2 linked regions of the Caenorhabditis elegans genome follow. The protein of the gene in region 1 purifies or fractionates together with the protein of each later gene. This does not show direct contact. Each region holds a gene or a part of one and is shown on either strand. Other genes may lie near its edges. The genes, in order: fask-1 and Y54E10A.6.

Region 1 (8,783 bases):
CGTATTTTTTTTGGTTTTGAAATATATTTAAAAATATTCTGATTTAGCAGATTTCAGAAACTTGTATTTAAAGGCGCACGGATTAGTTTGTATGGGTCTCGCCGCGAACTTTATAATGAATTTTTCAAATTTCTGTGTTTTTATCCAATTTCCCCAGATTTTATGGTATTTCAAAAAATAAAAAGGGGGCGCACCGAAAGCCAAAGTGTTTCTACAAATAGTAACAATTTTTCGTGGTGAGACCCATGTCAATAAAAAATTGCGCCTTTATGTATTACGGGAACATAAAACTCTGAGAATGCGTATTGCACAACATATTTGACGCGCAAAATATCCCGTAGCGAAAACTACAGTAACCCTTTAAATGACTACTGTAGCGCGGGTGCCGATTTACGGGCTCGATCAACGATATTCCATTTTTTTGGATTTTTTGTGACGGCTCGATTTTTGAAATGAATTTCTTTTCGAATAGTTTTTTTCGTATCATTTTCTCATTTTTCTCATAATTTTAATATTCTATCGATAAATAAATGATTTTCAATTTATTTCGAAAATCGAGATCCCGTAAATCGACACCAGCGCTACAGTAGTCATTTAAAGAATTACTGTAGTTTTCGGTACGAGATATTTTGAGCGTCAAATTTGTGGCAATTTTGTTTCTGAAAACATATAAAATATAAAACTGAGGTAAAATCTACACACTGGATGTGAAATACGAGCAATTATGAATTTCTAACCGAAACATTTATTAAAAATCAGTACCAATTGAATTGTGGCGAAGAAAAAGCAATTTTGAAATTGTGGGGAAAATACAATTATTAAAACAAGGCAATTATTGACAAAACTTGACACGTGGAGCAGTGGGTTGAAATCGGAAAATGATGGTTTTTGAGTTGGGAAAAAACTTTTTTGGGTGGTTATTTTACATGAAAAAGTATCACAAAAGTAGTCTGGTGTTGACAAAAAGGGTAAAAAGCTTCTTTGAAATTCCAAAAGTCGTATTAATTAATAAAATAATTACAGTACATGATTTATTTATAAAATTAGGCCGAGTTCATTTCCAAAGTGTGCTCTTTGTCTTGTTGGTGCCAGAAGGGCTTTTTGAGTTTACGGACACGGATCCTGCAGGGCTCGAAAGGACAATACTTGATTTTTTCTATAAGTGGTTCAAGGTGGTGTTTGTTTCGTTCGTACGCATCCTCCAGATTTTGGCACATCACATGACATCTGAATATCAATATTAATTTCTTTAAAAACGTTATAGTTTTTTCTCACCCGCATGGAATTAGAACGATTCCCATAGTACTGCTGTTTGGACTGCACAAATCGAAAGGACACGGACCTTGCCGCAGTTTGAGCTGAGTTGGTTCACTAGTTACTGAAATTTCAAGGCAATATATATATATATATATATTTGCTAAAATCTTCTTTACTAACCCGGTTTCAAGCACACGGAGCAGGGTTTATCATTCCAAGAATTCAAGCATTGCTCACAATAGACGTGTCCACACCCGAACATGACTTTCGATGTTTGGCAATTAAAGTTAATGTAGCACCCGACTCGTTGAGGTGGCTGGCCCATTTTCCGATGTTTCTTCATGAGCTGGAGTGATCCGTATGCCTTCTCAGATAGCACCATGATATTTGACTGGAAAAAAATACAAATTTTATTAATCAAGCATTTGTGGGATCTTAGATCTCACCTCTTCCACCGGGAGAATCAGGTAAAGTTTCATTGATCGTTTCGATGGTGGCATTAGTTGTCTTGGTACCATCGTCGTGTTTTTTGTAGAGATACAGTCCGTCCAGCTGAAGAAAAATGAATTTTAAACTAGACATTTTTAAATTAACAGGCGCCTACCAATACGAAAACCCATCTTCAGGATTATTGATATTTGTGAAAAAATCCAGTTTTATATAGTCGTTTTTTTGTCGAGAAAGGTCCGGCGCCCTCTGTCCATCGTCTTTTGTCCTGTAATAGACATTCTATTGTTAACACTTCCACACTTCCGCCAAAACTCACCACATAGGGAGTCCGAAATCCTGTGCAACGGATCCATCAAGATGTGCAACATTTTTCTTTTCTGTGTAGTATAGGAGCTTAAATGGCTCAGCAAGCTCGACGTTTTTCTAAATTCTTGAAATTGATATCGAAATCGAAACTATTAAAAGGCGAAAATTACCTTAAAAATCACGTAAATTGAAAAATGGATTTTTCGTCTGGCGGTCATCGTCTCGAAAATGTCATCAGCGACAATACATACGGGCTTTGGATCCACGCCATCAGCAAACGGTGGAGTGATAACATTCATGTTCTGAAATTTCTGCTGTAATTAAATTAATTTAAATTATCGAAAAATTAAAAAAAAAGAGACCTATTGGTTGATTGGAAAAAGAAATGAAGCAAGTTTTCAGGAACTAAAATGTAGAAACTAATGAATTTAATGAATTTTAGAAAGATGATCAGAGAAGAAATGATCAGGGCCGGAATGTCACTCGAAATTGGGTCACGCGCGTGAATTTTTAATTTTAGTTTTTCCCCGGTTTTTTCTTTTAGAAAGTGGACAAAACCGTTTGTAGAGACCTCCAGAGGTCAAGATCAAATTGTCACAAAAAAAAGTATAAATATAATCACGTATAATCACGCCAGGCTGTCCCATCACGGTTTGATCTACAAAAAATGCGGGAATTTTTTGCCAGAAAAAAAAGTGACGTCAGCACGTTCTTAACCATCCAAAATAAGTTGAGAACTCTGCGTCTCTTTTCCCGCATTTTTTGTAGATCAATGTAGATCAAACCGAAATGAGACACTCTGACACCACGTGATAAGATCTTAAATATAAGACTATTTAAATTTGTAATTGAAACCTGAAAATTGCCACCCAAGAGAAAAGAAAAAATAGAAGAAAAAACCAACAGGAAAGACAAATAAAATTTGATCAATAAACAATAAATTCCCGCAAAAATATTCATATTCTGTTCAAAAGACAGTTCACAGAAAATTCTAAAATTTCATCGAAACCTTTATAAATTTGTTTTATTATAATCTCAAATCTAAAAAATATTGAATAAAAATGAATAACAACAAAACAATAAAGACTAGGGGCGCTAGAAATATAATCTTTTATCAAAAAAATTAATTCTTCTTATGTATTTTATCCCGTAGCAGATTCACTTGATCAATTTCTGTGGAGCAATAGTCGAGTTCCGTTTTGAAGACGACTACTGGATCGAAGCCAGCGGAACGCATCAGTCGAAGTCCCAATTGTTCTTGCCCAACTGTATTGATTTCGCCGCTCGTTTCTGTGTTCTGAAATTTAGAATTTTATATGATTTTATGAGATTCGAAAATGCTTACCTGTTTAGTTTGCAACCATCCGTAGAAAAATAGAGGCCTGGGTTTTTTCGAGCCCCATTGTGATGTGTTCACTAGCAAGTTGGAATTCTGAAAAAAAAAACATTTTTTTTCAAAAATATTTTTTAATTGAAAATAATATACCGGATCTGGCATAACATAGGCATCGACAAAAGCTCCACAATCTTCAACATTCGGAAGTTGACAATGAGTATCTTGTGGAGCAAGTTTGAATAATGACTTTAAAAAATATCGATCGCATTCTGAATGATTGCTCGAATATTTCAGTTGCCTCGCGTTCCGAATCGTTTTCGCGTCGAAATTGATTCCAAATCGAGCAAATGTTTCCTTATTCACTGTTGGTCCTTCGTATTTTCCCTGCATATCAACTTTAGCCGCTGAACTGATCATTAGAAGAGTCATCGCTTTTCGGAGTCGATCGTGAATTTCCCTGAAAAATTGGGAAATTATTGACAATTTTTGATATTATAAATGGGGATGCAGAAAAATGCCTTTTGAAAACACTCCGCCCTTAAACCTTGGGTCTCGTTAGGTATTGACAATAAGGAAGTCAGTTTTTCAACTTTTAAAACTAAAATTGGAGAAAAAAAACCACATTTTGGCCTTTTTTTGGAAAAATTATATGTTGTTTTTTCATCATCATAAACAAAATTTGAATTTTTTGGTAAATTTTCAGCATTTTTTTCGAGTTTCTGCAAAATCGACTATTTTTAGTTTTCCCTAGCAAAAACCGAAAAAGCAAAAAAAAATTGGCATTTTTTTCGTGTTTCCCAGCATTTTAAATTTATATTGTGATTTTTAAAAATATTTTTCTTTTAACTTAAAAAATTTTTAAAAACTTTTTTTCTAATAATTTTAATGTCGAAATTGAGATAAAATTCATATCGATTTTCCGGAGTTTTCGAAAAATCTTTAGAAAATGTTTCGAAAATTAATAATAAAAATTTATTTGTTTGCTCATTTTGAAAAAAAATCAAAATCATTGTCTTCAAAAAAAAATCCTAAATTTTTAAGCAATTTTCGAAAAAATCGAATTTGTTTAGGAATGTCGCAAAACTAAATTTTTGATTTTTGAATTTTCGGAAAAATCGGAAAACCGAAAACCTAACGAGACCCAACGTTTAGTTGCGGAGTGTTTTAATTTGGAGCGCGTTTGCACCTCTTCAATTTCCAAATAATTTCTTACATTGTTGAATTCATGATTTGATCTACAAAACTCTTATTGAGCACCGAATCCGCATGAACTGCTTCAAGTTCTTGAAAATATGCAAGAGAAAAGACGATATTCAGCCAATTGTTGGGCGTCGAAGCTTTTTCCTTCACCAAAAATGGTTTGAGCGCTTTTGCCAACGGTTTTCCAGATGGTTCTCCAATTCTAGCGAGCCCGGAGACAAATTTGCTCAATCGAGCCGGATGTGCTTGCTTCACATTTTCAATTGCCCATCGAACAAGAAGATTCCATGACTTTTGATCACCCATTCTCATACGAATAAATGAATCGGCAATGCTGAGCACATCATCCCATTGAGCAAGAACATTCGAATTTTTCTCGAGGTCGTTGGAGATTTTCCGTGCAATTTTTGGTGGATAATAGGTGAGAGCAGAACATGAGCCGGTGACACTGACAATTTGTGATACTGTAAGAACTTGACTGGAACTGGAAATCGCGTTGATTATTGCTCCAAGTAGCTGTCGATTTCTTTGCTTATTCACTGCCATATGCTTCAAAAGAGCACATTTTTCAGCCATTCCCATTACTGCTACAAGTCGTTCGGCTTTTTTGAGGAACGCTTCGTTGTGAAACCATTTTGATTTTTCGTATCCATCACCGGCGAGAATTGCTAGGAGATCTGCAGGATTTGCCAGTTCTCTGGAAAATTAGATATTAAATAGAGCTTTTAAATCTAAATTATTTAATTACTTTTCGATTCTAGAAATCAATGAAGTCGCAATAGATTCGATAACATTTTGATCGATTGAAGATTTTGAATATCGAATGATCATCACAAGTGTGTCAAATGGAACAGTTTGTAGATCGGATTGACTTATTTCTGAAATTTTACGTTTTATTTGAAATATCTTTCGGAAAATGTTTAGGAAAACGCACAATACTACTGAAAATCAACTTTTTTTTTTCTAAAATTGATGAAAAGGATTCGTTCCATCTGATAAAATATTATTAATAATTTTTTTTGTTGAAAAATTTAAATAAGGCCACTAGGCCTCACCTCTACCTTTAGGTTGAGCACCGAAATCTGAGAAAAATATTTTTGAATCACTCCAAATTTTCTCCTTTCACTTGCGTCCAAATGAGATTTTTCAAACGCCGAATTTTCGCGCCAGAGACGAGCCATGTGTCGATTTACGAGAATTTTAATCTTTATCAGATGCTGATTTCTGTTTTCAACGAGTTTCCTTAATTTTCGTCGATTTTTGCCGAATTTTTTTTAAATGAAAATGTGTTTTTAAGTCAATTAAACATTATATTATCAAAAAACTAACAAAATTTCCAATTTTTCATTTTCAACAAAACTAAAAATTATTTTCAGATGGAGCGAATCTTTTTCTACATTTTTTAAAATCAATTTTAGATCAAAAAAGTAGAATTATCATATTCAAATAAGTAGTTTTGTTGGATAAATCATACTTTTTTCAAGGAACAAATTCTGAATATCCGTCGAGACTTTTCCCTTTGAATTCAGCTGCAAAACAAATCGCAATGCATCCACTGTCTCCTTCGGTCCAAAATTTTCATAGAATTTCGGCAGAACTTTCTTCGCAATATCATCAATTTTCGAAAACGCCTTATTTTGTTCCGTTGATTTCACAGTGATAGCCATTTGTGCAGCTGTGATGAATTGATCAATCGATTTTATGGGATTTTGTTCGAGCCACTTAAATAATTGAACAATTTAAATGGAGCTTAAGCTTATTGAGTACCTTGAAAAATTCCGTCGAAGTTTCTAATACAGTTCTGTTTTTCACGAGCTTCTGTGTTGGAGCAGCGGCGATGGAATGGAGGAAATCTGGAATTCAAATATTTTTTGATGTTTTTTGCATTATTCTACTTTTTTTTACTAAAAATAACCCGAAAAGCTTATTGCGAAACTTCAAAAATGTCGAAAAACACTTGATTTTAGCTAAAATCTCACATTTCGCAAAATTTTTCAAATATTTTGCCAAATTTCCCTTTTATTAAATTTTTGTCTTATTTTGGTCATTTATCACATGTTTTTTCGTAAAAATTGGTACATTTAAAGCCAAATTTGCTTAAAATTACCCTAAATTTACGAAATAACGTAAAATAAACCAAAGTAGCACAATAATCGAATTAAAATTATTTTCCGGCCGCTCTAAAGTTGGTCAAGTTGGAGATTCTAGCGGAAATTAGCTATTTTTTGAAATTTTTTTGACAATTTTAATAAAATTCTGGCCATTTAGAGCAAAAAAAATCTGCACCTACCATCAATTTCTGCAGGACCAGCTCCACTTTGAGCTGCGACGGAAAACTGACGACACGGAATCGTCCTGCAAAGCGTGGGTAATCCACGGCTCCACATTCTAGATATTTGCAATTTTTTTAAAAAAATATCAAGATTTGAACAAGAAAAGTACGAAAATGAGACGGAAACATATAAAATTTTACAAAATTTCTAAGATTAAATTTGAAAAAACTGATTTATCGACTGCAAAAAATGGGTTTAAAAAAAAAGGAATAACAACTCAAAACAACAATGAATAAGAAAAAAAGAACAGCTAATTGCCTAGAATCGGAGCACAAGCTTTCAGATGTTGCTGAGCAACTACTGCGAGACATTCGTACACGTCAGCACACGTGGCTTTCGCTGCATCCATGACTGTGGAAAGATGATCAATGTGAAGACGATTTTGAAGTTCCACGAGAATCACTTCGTCACGACCGCAGATTGTGGCGAGCTGAAAATTTTAAGCAATTATTTTTTAACGAAAAATCGAAAGTTTGTGTTTTTTCCCGATTTTTCGGAAAATAACTTAAAATTTTGGACATTTTTTTTTTTAGAATAGCAACCAAAATATGATTTCGGTTCCCGGAATATTGAAATTACGGCAATTTTTGAGAAGTCTCATTACAAAATTCATTAAATTAGACAATTTTTCAGCCTAAACATACAGTAACTCTGGGAAGGAGATCAGTTTCTTCTCTAGAAGTAAGATCAACAATTGGTTTTCCATCGACAACACCACACGTCGCTGCAGATGCGATGCCTTTCATTGGGATTCCTGCATCAGCAAGAGCCAAAGAAGTTGCATTGACACAGGCGGCCAGGTTGGAGCCGTCTCCTTGGATTACTTCACAGAAAATATCAAGTTGTGATCGAGGAAATGCTTCCGTCAGAATAACTGATTCGAATGCTTTCTCAAGAAGTCTGCTGATTTCAGTTGATTTTCGATCTCCACGTGTACGATTTTTTCTTTCAAGTCCCGAAAACTTTGTTGCACTATACTGACAAACAATGGCACATTTATCTTCGATTCTTTTTGACGATTTGCCTTCATACGGACCATAAACTGCACAAAGAACCTGAAAAGAGAATAATGTAACTTGAAATTAAATTCAAAACTTAAAAAAAAACCAACCTTGGTATTACCATGTTCCAGATAACAGCTTCCCTCCGCATTTCTGTTCAAGCCAAGACGAGTGTTAATGTTACGAATCTGAGCGGGACGGCGGCCGTCAATACGGAAACCATGTTCAGAGATGATGTTCATTGTCTGCAAAAGATTATTCGTGATTTTTTAAAAGAAATTATGGAAAATCTCACTTATTTTCTTCAATAACTGGAGTAGTTTCAACAGGAGTGGCTTCTGGAGCTGGGACCGCTGGCTCTGGCTTAGCGGATTTGATTGCTTCGGTTGGCGATTGCTCTCCTTGCTTGAAAAGTGCTTTTGGTGCTTGTTCTGCGAATACTAGCATAAACCGACGGTTCACTAGCATCTGCTTGTCAATACCTGAAATTTTGATTACAAAATCGTGTTTATACAATACAATAAATCTTACATTGACTGACACAGGACCCTTCGTCCTTTGTGAGTGTTGATGTGGTGTAGTCACGAGCGCAGGCGTTGAAACAACGTTCGCTGAGAGTGTTGTAGACGGTTAGAAATTCACGAAGCTGAAATTAAAGACATAAATGCGCGGGAGAGGATTTTCCTTTTTTCTGAGCACCTGTTGAATATTTTGAATAGTATTCATAAAGCATAAAACAGTCAACGCCCCGAAATGAGAATAATCTGAAATTTGAAGTTAAGAAAATGAGTAAAAAATTAAATAAAGAGAAAAAATTTGCATGCAAAATGCAACAAAAAAAACAAAAAGTTTCTGTGTATTTTACCGTCACGGTGTTTGCGGAAGTTTAAAGGCGCAGCG
Region 2 (11,778 bases), on another chromosome or scaffold:
TTTTTAAATAAAAAAAAAGGGAAAATTTCTACGTCCTAGATCGGAGTTAGGACGTTCCGAGTCGGAACTTCCGACACGATGTTTCGCAGAGTTACCTCCATTATTTGCTGCTTATTTTTTTGTTGCTAATTGTTTTATGATTTCAGCTGAACGTGCTCCTAGAACAAAATAATCATGAATTTTATTTATATTTTGTGAGAAATAGGGGACAAAAAAATATCCGACATAAATAATTGCAGTTAAAATGCGAGATAGGTTGAACCAAAAGCAGGTTATTGTGCAGCAGAAGCAGAAGCAGTAGCGACGGCCTTCTTCTTCCCGTACAAATGATGATATGATGGTAGGATTTTACGCAGGAATTCAATTTGGTGGGGCGATGTCTGAAAATTCCATATTTTTAGGTTTACTTTCATTTAGAATAGGTAACAAATTGCCGGTTTTCTGATTTGCTGGAAAATTTCATTTCCGCCAATTTGCCGGTTTGCCGGAAAATTTAATTTCCGGCAATTTGCCGGTTTGCCGAAAAACTTAATTTCCGGCGAATTGCCGATTTGTCGGAAAAATTTATTTCCGGAAAATTCCGGCTATTTGCCGGAAAATTTAATTTCCGGCGATTTGCCGATTTGCCGGAAATTTTCAAATTCGGCAAATTAGCGGTTTGCCGGAAAATTTCATTTCCACCAATTTGTTGGTTTTCCGGAAAACTTAATTTCCGGCGATTTGTCGGTTTGTCGGAAAAATTTATTTCCGGCGAATTCCGGCTATTTGCCGGTTTGCCGACTTGCCAGACAATTTCACTTCCGGCAAATTACCGGTTTGCCGATTTTCCTGAAAAATCATTTACCGCCCACCCCTGACACTTGATCCGTGAATTTTGCACAAAAAGCAGCGGCGCCGCACAGAAAAAGAGGCGGAGCGAAAATTCGCAACCATGCAGCACTGTTTTTCACTTCATTTCAAAAAATTTCCAATTTTACCTGTTTTATTCAATTTTTTTCATATAAAAAACAATTAAACATGAAAACTGTGGGAAATGGGTGAAAAAAAGAAAGAAAAACTGTGCCGCATGGTTGCAAAATTAAGCTCCGCCTCTATTTCTGTGCGGCGCCGCTTTTTGCGAAAAAAAAGCAGCATTTCCCGTACCATATTCGGCGTTTTCGTCGTTCTACTCAAATTCGTGGCTGCATAAACAGACACAGAAGGTTCCAGATTTTGATGGGAAAACACTGTACACTTGGCTCCAACGCTACAGTCATCTGAAACGGAGCAACCGTCTTCGAGCACCGCATGCACACCAATCACATTCCGGCTTCCAACGTATTTTGCACTGGATTTCGAGTGGACTTGAAAGATGTTCCAGTCACCGATTATCATTGGTTGACCGTCGCTGCTGGAAAAAAATCGTTTTTTTTCTCAAACATTGCCTAAAAATTTTTCTGTTGAAATGGAGATTCTTGCCGAATTTGCCGGAAAAAACCTTGCCGGTTTACCGATTTGCCGGAAATTTCAAATTTCGATTCCGGCAATATGTCGGTTCGCCGTAAATTTTCAATTCCGGCAATTTGCCGATTTGCCGGAAATTTTTATTTTCGGCAAATTGCCGGTTTGCCGGAAAAATTAAATTTTAAATTCTGCCAAATTGCCGGTTTTCCGGAAATTTCAATTCCGGCAATATGCCGATTTTCCGCATGCCGGATATCAGCTTTGCCGGAAATTTTCAATCCCGGCAAATTGGTGGTTTGCCGGAAAAAATTAAATTTATAATTCCGGCAAACTGCCGATTTGCCGGAAAAATTACATTTTGAATTCCGCCAAATTGCCAGTTTGCCGGAAATTGTTATTTTCGGCATATTGCCGATTTTCCGCATGCCGGAAATTTTAAATTCCGGCAACAAGTAGGTTTGCCGGAAAAATTAAATTTTAAATTCCGGCAACTTGCTGATTTGCCGGAAATTTTCCATTCCAGCAGATTGCCGATTTATCGAATTTGCAGGAAGTGTTCAATCCCGGCAAACTGGCGGATTGCCAGAAAAATTAAATTTAAAATTCCGGCAAACTGCCGTTTTTTTCCGGCAAATCGGTAAACCGGCAATTTGGCGATTCCTGTATCATATGTTTTGAACATACTTATTCCGAATAACTGCGTATTCTTCAAAAATATTATTTTCTCCAACATAAATTGGGCCTTTTGTGGCGTCGAACACTACAAATGGATGGACGACGCAGCCTTCTTTAATTATAACTTCTCCTTTTATATCCGCTTCGACGCAGACGATTGCACTACTGGCGATGGATACTGTGCTGAAAAAATTGCAATTTTTTTCGATTTTTAATTTTTTTTCTTTCGATTTTTAACGATTTAATTTTTAAAAAATTGAAATTTTAATTTTAAAATTCGATTTTCTAAAAAAAATCGAAAATTTGGATTTTTTATTATTTTTAATTTTAAAAAATTCTAATTTTAATTTCAAAATTCGATTTTCTAAAAAAAAATTTGGATTTTTTTTCGATTTGCTGACAAGAAAGTGGAAAATTTTGGATTTTTTTATTCTGAAATGCCTAAAAACATCTCTTTTTTCTTTTTTTTTCAACAAATTCTGGAAATTTTTTTTTACATCAAAAAAATCCGAATTTTCCAAAAAAATTGTACAAATTTTCAGAAATTACGTTTTTTGAAACTTTTCTAACGAGAAAAAAAAAGCTTTTTTTTTCTTTTTTGGTTTTAATTTAAAAAAAAATGAAAAAAAAATAATTCGATTTTCTAATTTTTTGTTAAAAGTTCCAAAAATTCCAGAATTTCAAAAAAAATTTTTAATAAAAAAACTGTGTTCCTTTTCTTGGAATTCCAGATTTTCTAAAGTTTTTTACTGGAAAATTCTGGAAATTTCTGTTGCAATTTAAAAAAAATCCAATTTTTTTTTTTGAGATAAAAAAATTTGAAATTTCAATTTTAAAACTAGACACTCTAAAAAAATTTGAAATTTCAATTTTAAAACTAGACACTCTAAAAAAATCGAAAAATTTCGATTTTTACCTGAAATTCTTTAAAAAATTTCAGAATTTGTTTTCCAGAAAATTCTGGAACTTTTCAAAAAAAAAACAATTGTTTTGAAGAAAAATCTAAAATTTTCCACTTTTAAATTTAAAAAATTAATTTTTTTCCAACTCACCTAGTTTCAGTCATTTCTAAAATCCGTTTCTTTCTGAAAATTGCATTACTTCTCTCGACAGATTGCACAATTTCTCGCCACAAATATTCCATGGTTTTATATTCAAAAAAAAACCAATTGGAGACAAAAAAGAGAGCGAGAGACAGGAAATAGTCATTTCCCACGACAAAAACGATACTTTTATTCTAGTGTCAGCGGGGGAAATCGGGGAGAAACAACAAGAAACATGGTAACAACAAAAACAAAATAATTAGGTGAAAAGGAAGGAAAAAAATCCAAAAAAAAAAAACTCAAAAATTCCAAAAAAAACCGACTTTTCGGCAAAATTGAGCACTGTGACCAATCAGCGATTCGCTCCGCCCACTTTTCAACCAATCAGGATTTTCGGCGCAATTCTACTGGTTGTTCCAACATTTTTCATTGAAAATTAGTGTCAAGATATGGAAATTTACTATCAAAATGTATAAATCGATCTTTGAATTTTGCAAAAATTGTTGCCCGTGCGGCAGTGTTGCGAAAGCAAGCTCCGCCTCAATTTCTGTGCGACAAAAATTTTTGCAAAATTCAAAGATCGATTTATACATTTTGATAGTAAATTTCCATATTTTGACACTAATTTTCAATGAAAAATGTTGGAACAACCAGTAGAATTGCGCCGAAAATCCTGATTGGTCAAAAAGTGGGCGGAGCAAATCGCTGATTGGTCGCAGCGCTCATTTTTGTCAAAAACTCTGATTTTTCATTTTTCTTTCGGGGATTTTCTGAATTTAAGACTATTTTTTTGTCAAATTTTTAATTAGATATCCGGGAGACTCCTGGAAGGTCATTTTTGTCGGGATAAATTGAAACAAGTGTATCACTGTCGACAACTCTGACTTGATCAATTGAAAGAGTTGGGAATATCTGACGACTTGAGAGAATCAGTTCATCCATTGTCTTTTTACATGCTTCCAGTGATTGTTTCGAAGATACTTCTACCCAGATGCTCGTGGTATCCACAGTTAGCTGAAATTTTTGTTTCCAATTTTAAATACTAGAAATTTTTAATTTTTATTACTATATCACAAAATTCTGAGAAAATGCGTATTGCACAACATATTTGACGCGCAAAATATCTCGTTGCGAAAACTACAGTAATTCTTTAATTGACTACTGTAGGTCGATTTACGGGCTTCGCTTTTTGAAATGAGTTTCTGTTCGAATTGTGGCAGCGGTTTTAATTTTCGTCCAATTTTTCTTCTTTTTTTTTAAATTTTCATCAATAAATTACAAAAAAAGAGTCAAAATCGCTTTACACTGTTTTTCTTGTTAATTTTTCAATAAAGTTTGAGTTTTTCTTGTGTTTTTCTTTTTTTCGAATGAAAATGCTATCCAATTCGAAAAAAGAGAAAAAGACCAGTGAAATTGAAACTTTATTGAAAAATCAACAAGAAAAGCAGTGGAAAAGCGATTTTGAATCGTTTTTTTGTAATTAATTGTTGAAAATATAAAAAAAAAGAAGAAAAATTGGACGAAAATTAGAAAAGGCCACAATTCGAACTGAAACTCATTTCAAAAAGCGAAGCCCGTAAATCGACCTACAGTAGTCATTTAAAGAACTACTGTAGTTTTCGCTACGAGATATTTTGCGCGGTAAATATATTGCCCAATACGCATTAGTTAAAATTTTCTGTGTTTTTTTTTTTTTTTTTTTCATTTTTTCCGTTGTTTCATAATTTTTCTAAGTTTGCTAAAAATCTTTAACTGACCTCAACGGGGAAAATTTTCTAAAAATTGACAAATTATGTGTAAAATGAAGCTCTTTCTTCTTAATTTTTGAAGCAAATTTTCGAAAAAATAAGATTTTTCAAAAACATTTTTACTAAAACTGTTCAAAATTTTCCATAATAATGAACCTTTGTGCAATCCGAGTTGGTTATCGGTGGCAGGCTAATAACAATTTGTTGAGAGTCTACAAGACACGCAAGAATATTCTCATCCTTTACTATATGCAAGTACTTGTGCAATGGATCAACTGTACTTCTCTTGCTCCGTTTTCTGGCCAGCTCAGCGTCACGAAGAAGACTGTCCAGCAGTTCAGATGCACTTACACTCGATTTTTTGTTTAATGCACGGATCTGGAAATGGTTTTTTTTTTTGGAAAATGAGGAAGCAGTGGGGAAAAATTAGTTTTTGCTCATTTTTGCTAATTTTTTGAAACAAATTTTTTTAATTTTCTTTAAAAATTTTTGCTAAAATTGCCGGTTTTAACAGGTTTTTTTTTTGATTTTCAAAATTTCAGCTTAAAAAAAGATTTTTCTAAAAATAGTTTTACTTTTGTCATTTTTCCTAATTTTTTGAGAAAATCGAAACATTTTTGTTTTTGCTGTTTAAAAAATCAAAAAAAAGTATTATTTTCTCGGTTTTCTCTTAAAAAAAAGAAAAGAAAATTTAAATTTCTCTTCAAAAAATCGAACATTTTTCAATTTTTACAGGGAAAAACGGAAATTTTCGATTTTTTCAGAAACAATTTAAAAAGTGTTTTTTCTCTGAAAAAAAATCGAAAATTTTAGTTTTAAACATTTTAAAAAATGTAAAACATTTTTTTCTCAATTTTTCCTGAAAAAATCGGAAATTTTCAATTTTTTCAGATAACATTTGTGGGTTTTCTCTGGAAAAAAAAGTATAAAATTTTCGAATTTCAAACATTTTTTATTCGAACATTTTTCGAAAAAAATCTGAAAATTTTCAATTTTCTTTGAAAAAAAATCGGAAATTTCTCTCAAATTTTATGTTTTTTTTTTCAATTTTCACTTTTTTAAATCGTACATATAGTTCATCCTTCGGAAGAGCCATATAACAAAGTGGAAGCTGAAAAGAATCGAGCCGATGCGTTCCAATAGCCGAAAGAGTTCGATTCTCACAGAGAGCCGACGCGTGCATTTTCGTTTGAAGAGCAATGAATTTCTTGAACGAGTCTCCTCCATTGAGATCAACATTATTGATGACACAGCAAACAAGATATGGTCGGATTTCAGAGACACTGGGATGCCTACGAACTGTCAAATTCTCAATTCCAGTACGGACTGTGAGTGGGGCGTCTGGAACTGGAAAATCGGGGGAACCGGATTCAGGAGCTTTCTTCTGCTCTTCAGAATTTCCAATTGGTTTTCCAATTTTTTGAGCCAGAGCAATCACTGCATTAAGCTTCCCACGCTTATCATTGGCAAGCTTCTGAAATCTGCTCTCCGAGAAGCAATTCTTCGAAATATCCAAAACCTTCAACTTGGGAAGGTGTGCAATCACACTCGGAACATCTTTCAGCTTATTCTCATCAATTTTAAGCTCTTTCAATTGCTTCAAATTGCTCAAACTATCCGGTATCACTTCAATTGAATTATGAGAGAGTATTATCGTATGGAGTTTTGCAGAAAGATTGTGAGAAGTGAGAGACGCAGGAATCTTGGAAATTGTGTTGTGAGCGGCGTCGAAAATATGAAGATTCGAGAGATTTGATATATCCGGGAAACTCGATTCATTGAGGCGGTTGTTGTTGAGAATTAGAGATTCAAGATTTTCACATTTTGAAATTGAAGCAGGAAGAGCATCCAGATGATTGTGTGAAAGATCCATGAATTTTAGTTTTGGCAAGCAATCTGGAAATTTTCATAGTTATATTTGTTTTGGCAAATCGGCAACCGGCAAGTTGGCAGTTTGCCTAATTTGCCTAAAATTAAATTGTAGGCACACTATCTTTTAAAAAATCCCTTTAAGAACTTCCGGCAAACCGGCAATTTGCCGGAATTTTAAAAAATTTTCCGGCAAACCGGCAACTTGCGCGAAATTAAAATTGAAAATTTCCGGCAAATCGGCAATTTGCATGAATTCAAAGTTTAATTTTTTCCGGCAAATCGGCATACTTGAAAAAATAGAAAATTTCCGGCAAATCGGCAATTCGCAAGAATTTAAAATTTTATTTTTTTCCGGCAAACCGGCAATTTGCCGGAATTAAACATTTAATTTCGAAATCATGTCATTCAAAATAATTCAAATTTTTTGTTGCGAAATTGAAAAGATATGCTATTTAACAGTTATATTTGGTATATTTCGACTAATTTCCGTCTAAAAAAACAAAAAAAAATCCACAAAATACACACCAAAAACGTCTGGAAGCTGTTTTAAATCATTTTTCGGCAAAACCAAATGCATTAGATTACTGCAAGATCTAATCGAAGACGAAAGATTGTGAAGAGAGCATCCAGTGAGAGAAAGGAGATTCAATTGGGACATCTGAAAATAAATTTTGGGTTTTGATGGGAATTTAGTATTATAAAATTTACAAAAAAAAAATTTGTTTGAAATTCCGAGAAAAAAATCGTTTTTTTGCGGAAATTCACGGATTTTCCAAAAATTAAAATTCCCTTACACTCTCGAAAACCCGTTTCTGGGAAAGATTGGCCGCTTCGGTGACCGAATCGATTCGAACATTTTTGATGACAATTTCGAAGCGATTATTCTCGATCGCCTCTATTACCTCCGGTTGCTCTTCGAACATTATTCTGAATTTTAATTTTTTCGGTGAAAAAGTGGGAAAAAAATTAGATAAAGATATAAATAATTGAATCGAACCACAAAATTCGTTATAAATATTGAAAATGATTCAAAGTTTAATATATAAAGAAACAAAAATTCTAGGATTCTAGCGAAACAAAAACAAAAAAAATAATAAAAATTCATTGAGATTTCTTCGGAGTATCCAGCTTTTCCTGAAGATTCTTCTGGTGATTCCGAAGGGCGTCAGCTAGAAGAACATCAAGAATTGATTCAGATTGATCTACGCGGTCTGCTTGTATTTGTGGAAATGGATTTCCGTCGATTTCCAGAACTCCGATATCGTATCGCTTCCAGACTTCTCGCTTATTCTGGATAAATTGTTGAAGACGTTGTGGTGGAAGTCGGAATAGTGATGTGAATGGAGAATCGCGGTCTTGGAATCGTGGAACAATTACCTGGGAAAAAAATGATTTTTTTTTGGCGAAAAATCTTTTTAAATCAATTTACTTCATGCATTTTCGTAATTAAATCCTTCTCAGGCAGCCACCATTCCATCATTTCGGCTGTATACTCGTCAAGTGGTCCTCTTTCGACACCCAATTGAATTAGCTGAATTTTATTTTTTTAAATTTTAATTTTCTCACTCATTTTCAAACAAAAAACCCCTCACCCTCTCCAAATATGGCCTGGCCTCGACGGCGCGGTTCCATTTCAGCTCGGCGCGTTCCTCACGGACAGTTCGGGTGACGATGCGACGGAGCACTTCGAGACGAGCACGACGGCTTGGCTCAATTCCTCCGGTTTTCAGCTTTTGTGGTGCGTGACCAATTGTGACGCCGATTCTTGGCAGTGACACTGCCACTCGGTGAGCTGACATTGCCTGGAAATCTTTTTTTTATTAATTTTGAGTCGGAAATTCAAAAAATTGAATAAAATCCCATATATTTCAATAGAAATTCTAATAAAAATTAAATTTAATTCTATTTCGCGAAATTTCGGAGCGTTTTTTGCGTTGAAACACGCTTCCTCACACACGCACTTTAAAGGCGCACCGATTTACACGGTCGGCGGGTCTCGATGGGAAAACAAACGTCTCTTCATCATTGCGTGCTGAATTCACTTCTCTCATTTCCGCTTCTTCTCTACGGTTTTTCGTGTCGATTTTCTCCATTGTCATCGTTTTTCGCATAATTTTCGAGTTAAATTATGCGAAAAATGATAATTCGTCGTTTATTAATGATAAATACTCATTTTCTCCGTCTTAAAACTTCATTTGTTTCGCAACAAGCCAATAAAATGAATTTCAGATACATATTCTGTAATCTCGACGTCAATTGGGTACAAAATCGGTTTAGATTCGCCGATTTTTCTTTTTCGAATTCCGGGTTTCCGTTTGATATAGTCTTACAATGAACACACAATATTATGCGAATCACAACGGTCAACAACAGCCGCCACAACAACAACAGGGACAAGGGTATGATTTCGAAACGGATTTCAAGATTTCAACCTCATTTTTTCAGCTGGTCATCCTCGTATTCTCAACAGAGCAATAATATGCCTGCAGGAGGCGTATTTTACAACGGATTCGCCAACGGAACTCCGTCAAACAACGGGTATGCAATTCAACAACCTATGGTCCCAGGGATGGGGCAGATGATGGGTGCTCCTCATGCTGGATTTGTTCCTTCTCCTTACTTTCAAGGGCAGCCACAACAGCAGCAGCATTTCAAAATGGGCTACTCAGAAAACTTTGAAAACTTCGATGAGAATGGGTGAGAACAGGTGTATAGTGTGCTGGTGATTGTGTTTGCCTCTAACCATATGCTTGTTCTTCATTTCCTTTGTTGCTTTTTGTTAACCTGAAATGAGGCTTCTCTTTTATCAAATCTTGAAATTGCAGATCGTCTGGGTACAACAACTTCGCCGACAGCGGAAACGGTTTCAACAACAAGTATGTTTAAATCTGAATTACAATTTTTATTAGTAGACGTTACAGTGGAGCCGAGAGTAATCAATGGGGAGGAGCACCTGCCGAATATTCCGAAAGGTGAGATTAAAATGTTCTGATTATTAAACGCGATATGGTATTTCAGCAATTTGTTCCACCGTACCGACAGTGGCATCAACTTTGACAAGTACGAAAATATTCCCGTAGAAGTCAGCGGAGACTCCGTTCCAGCAGCCATCGAGCATTTCAATGAAGCTGGTTTTGGGCCGGCTGTGATGGAGAACGTGAATCGCAGCGGATACTCCAAGCCGACTCCTGTCCAGAAACACTCGATCCCAACTCTTTTGGCTAACCGCGATCTGATGTCTTGCGCTCAAACCGGATCTGGAAAAACTGCCGCTTTCCTGCTCCCAATTATTCAGCATATTTTGGCTGGTGGTCCAGATATGGTCAAGCCGGTAAGTAGGGCAAACCTGCGATCCATCAAAATTCGAAAAATTTATACAAAAAACTATTTTAATTGCAGCCAGCGTTCACAAACGGTCGTCGCACTTACTATCCATGTGCTCTGGTTCTCTCGCCGACTCGTGAACTTGCCATTCAAATCCACAAGGAAGCTACAAAGTTCAGCTACAAAAGCAACATCCAGACGGCTATTCTTTACGGAGGACGTGAAAACTATCGTGATCAAGTGAATCGTCTTCGCGCTGGAACGCATATCCTCATTGCTACCCCAGGTCGTTTGATTGACATTATTGAGCAAGGATTCATTGGACTCGCCGGATGTCGTTACCTGGTTCTCGACGAAGCTGATCGTATGCTTGACATGGGATTTGAGCCGCAAATCAGAAAGATCGTTGGCCAAGGAATGCCACCAAAGACTGCTCGTACCACAGCTATGTTCAGTGCAACCTTCCCGAAGGAGATTCAAGTTCTCGCTAAGGACTTCCTCAAGGATAACTATATCTTTTTGGCAGTTGGTCGTGTTGGATCAACGTCTGAAAATATTGAACAACGTCTGCTTTGGGTCAACGAGATGGAAAAGAGAAGCAATCTGATGGAAATTCTGATGAACGAGCATTCTGAAAATCTGGTTCTCGTATTCGTTGAGACAAAGAGAGGAGCCAACGAGTTGGCGTATTTCCTCAATCGTCAGCAGATCCGCTCTGTTTCAATTCACGGAGATCTCAAACAAATTGAACGTGAGAGAAATCTCGAGTTGTTCCGCTCTGGACAGTGCCCAATTCTTGTCGCAACTGCTGTTGCCGCTCGTGGATTGGATATTCCAAATGTGCGCCACGTCATCAATTATGATCTTCCTGGAGATTCTGACGAATATGTTCACCGTATCGGTAGAACCGGAAGATGCGGAAACCTTGGAATTGCCACCAGTTTCTTCAATGACAAGAATCGAGGAATCGGTCGTGATTTGAAGAATCTGATTGTCGAATCCAACCAAGAAGTCCCAGAATGGCTTCATCAAGTTGCTGCAGAAGGACGCATTGGAGGTGGACAACGTGGTGGAAACCGTCGCTTCGGAGCAACCGACTATCGTGTTGGTCGTGGTGGTGGTGGATCGTTCGGAGGGTAAGATCAAATGAGCAGTTGAAAATTAATATTGCTAATAGTTTCAGAAACTTCTCAAATTACAATTCCGGTGGAGCCACTGGTGGTTTCGGAAGTGGACCCGCCTACGGTGGTTCGTTCGGAGGAGGAGCACCACGTCGCCCGTTCACGAATGGAGGATTCGGAGCTCATAGCTCTCTGTCGTCTACCTCTAATAGTGGTGGCGGTGGCGGCTTCAGTGGCCCAAGAAGAGGTTTGTGGAGAAAATAAAGAAAATAATGCAAAATTAATCAATTCCTTGATTTCAGGTGGCTTCAACAGTGGAATGAACCGTCAGGGTGGTGGCGGTGGAGGTTTTTACTCAAACCCAGGCCAGGCTCCAATTGATCATTGGCAAGCTCCACAAGCTTAAACATTATTCGCAACAAACGGAAATCCGGAATTCCACATTAAAGTCTCGCACCATACTCCTTTTTTTATAATTTAGTTGTCTTCCTTTTTTCCTTTACTCGTTCCATCCATATTAAAATAATCATTTTTTCCTCCTTCTCTTTTTTA

The links.
Region 2: the proteins of fask-1 (region 1) and Y54E10A.6 fractionate together in Caenorhabditis elegans (co-fractionation; one large-scale study listed by BioGRID). This does not show direct contact.

Annotation. Positions count from the first base shown.
Region 1 is NC_003282.8:13,098,869-13,107,651, reverse strand, and holds fask-1 (RAP domain-containing protein), read right to left. Parts: upstream 6,938-8,783; 5' UTR 6,937-6,937; coding exon 6,840-6,936; intron 6,403-6,839; coding exon 6,317-6,402; intron 6,271-6,316; coding exon 6,024-6,270; intron 5,428-6,023; coding exon 5,298-5,427; intron 5,247-5,297; coding exon 4,563-5,246; intron 3,807-4,562; coding exon 3,500-3,806; intron 3,446-3,499; coding exon 3,359-3,445; intron 3,311-3,358; coding exon 3,137-3,310; 3' UTR 3,025-3,136; downstream 1-3,024. Other genes in the region: rde-11 (RNA interference defective protein 11), read right to left, coding at 1,044-1,227, 1,276-1,378, 1,438-1,648, 1,704-1,809, 1,862-1,972, 2,024-2,130, 2,184-2,312; exos-4.1 (Putative exosome complex component RRP41), read right to left, coding at 7,133-7,312, 7,527-7,937, 7,994-8,125; tin-9.2 (Mitochondrial import inner membrane translocase subunit Tim10B), read right to left, coding at 8,122-8,128, 8,179-8,365, 8,415-8,529, 8,583-8,609.
Region 2 is NC_003279.8:3,159,618-3,171,395, reverse strand, and holds Y54E10A.6 (B3/B4 tRNA-binding domain-containing protein), read right to left. Parts: upstream 7,709-11,778; 5' UTR 7,705-7,708; coding exon 7,576-7,704; intron 7,440-7,575; coding exon 7,307-7,439; intron 6,806-7,306; coding exon 5,979-6,805; intron 5,288-5,978; coding exon 5,066-5,287; intron 4,176-5,065; coding exon 3,963-4,175; 3' UTR 3,339-3,962; downstream 1-3,338. Other genes in the region: dnc-6 (Dynactin subunit 6), read right to left, coding at 273-380, 1,144-1,390, 2,128-2,301, 3,171-3,184; mrpl-17 (Large ribosomal subunit protein bL17m), read right to left, coding at 7,883-8,158, 8,211-8,312, 8,374-8,580; vbh-1 (RNA helicase), read left to right, coding at 9,261-9,478, 9,607-9,657, 9,703-9,753, 9,800-10,112, 10,181-11,241, 11,289-11,473, 11,529-11,632.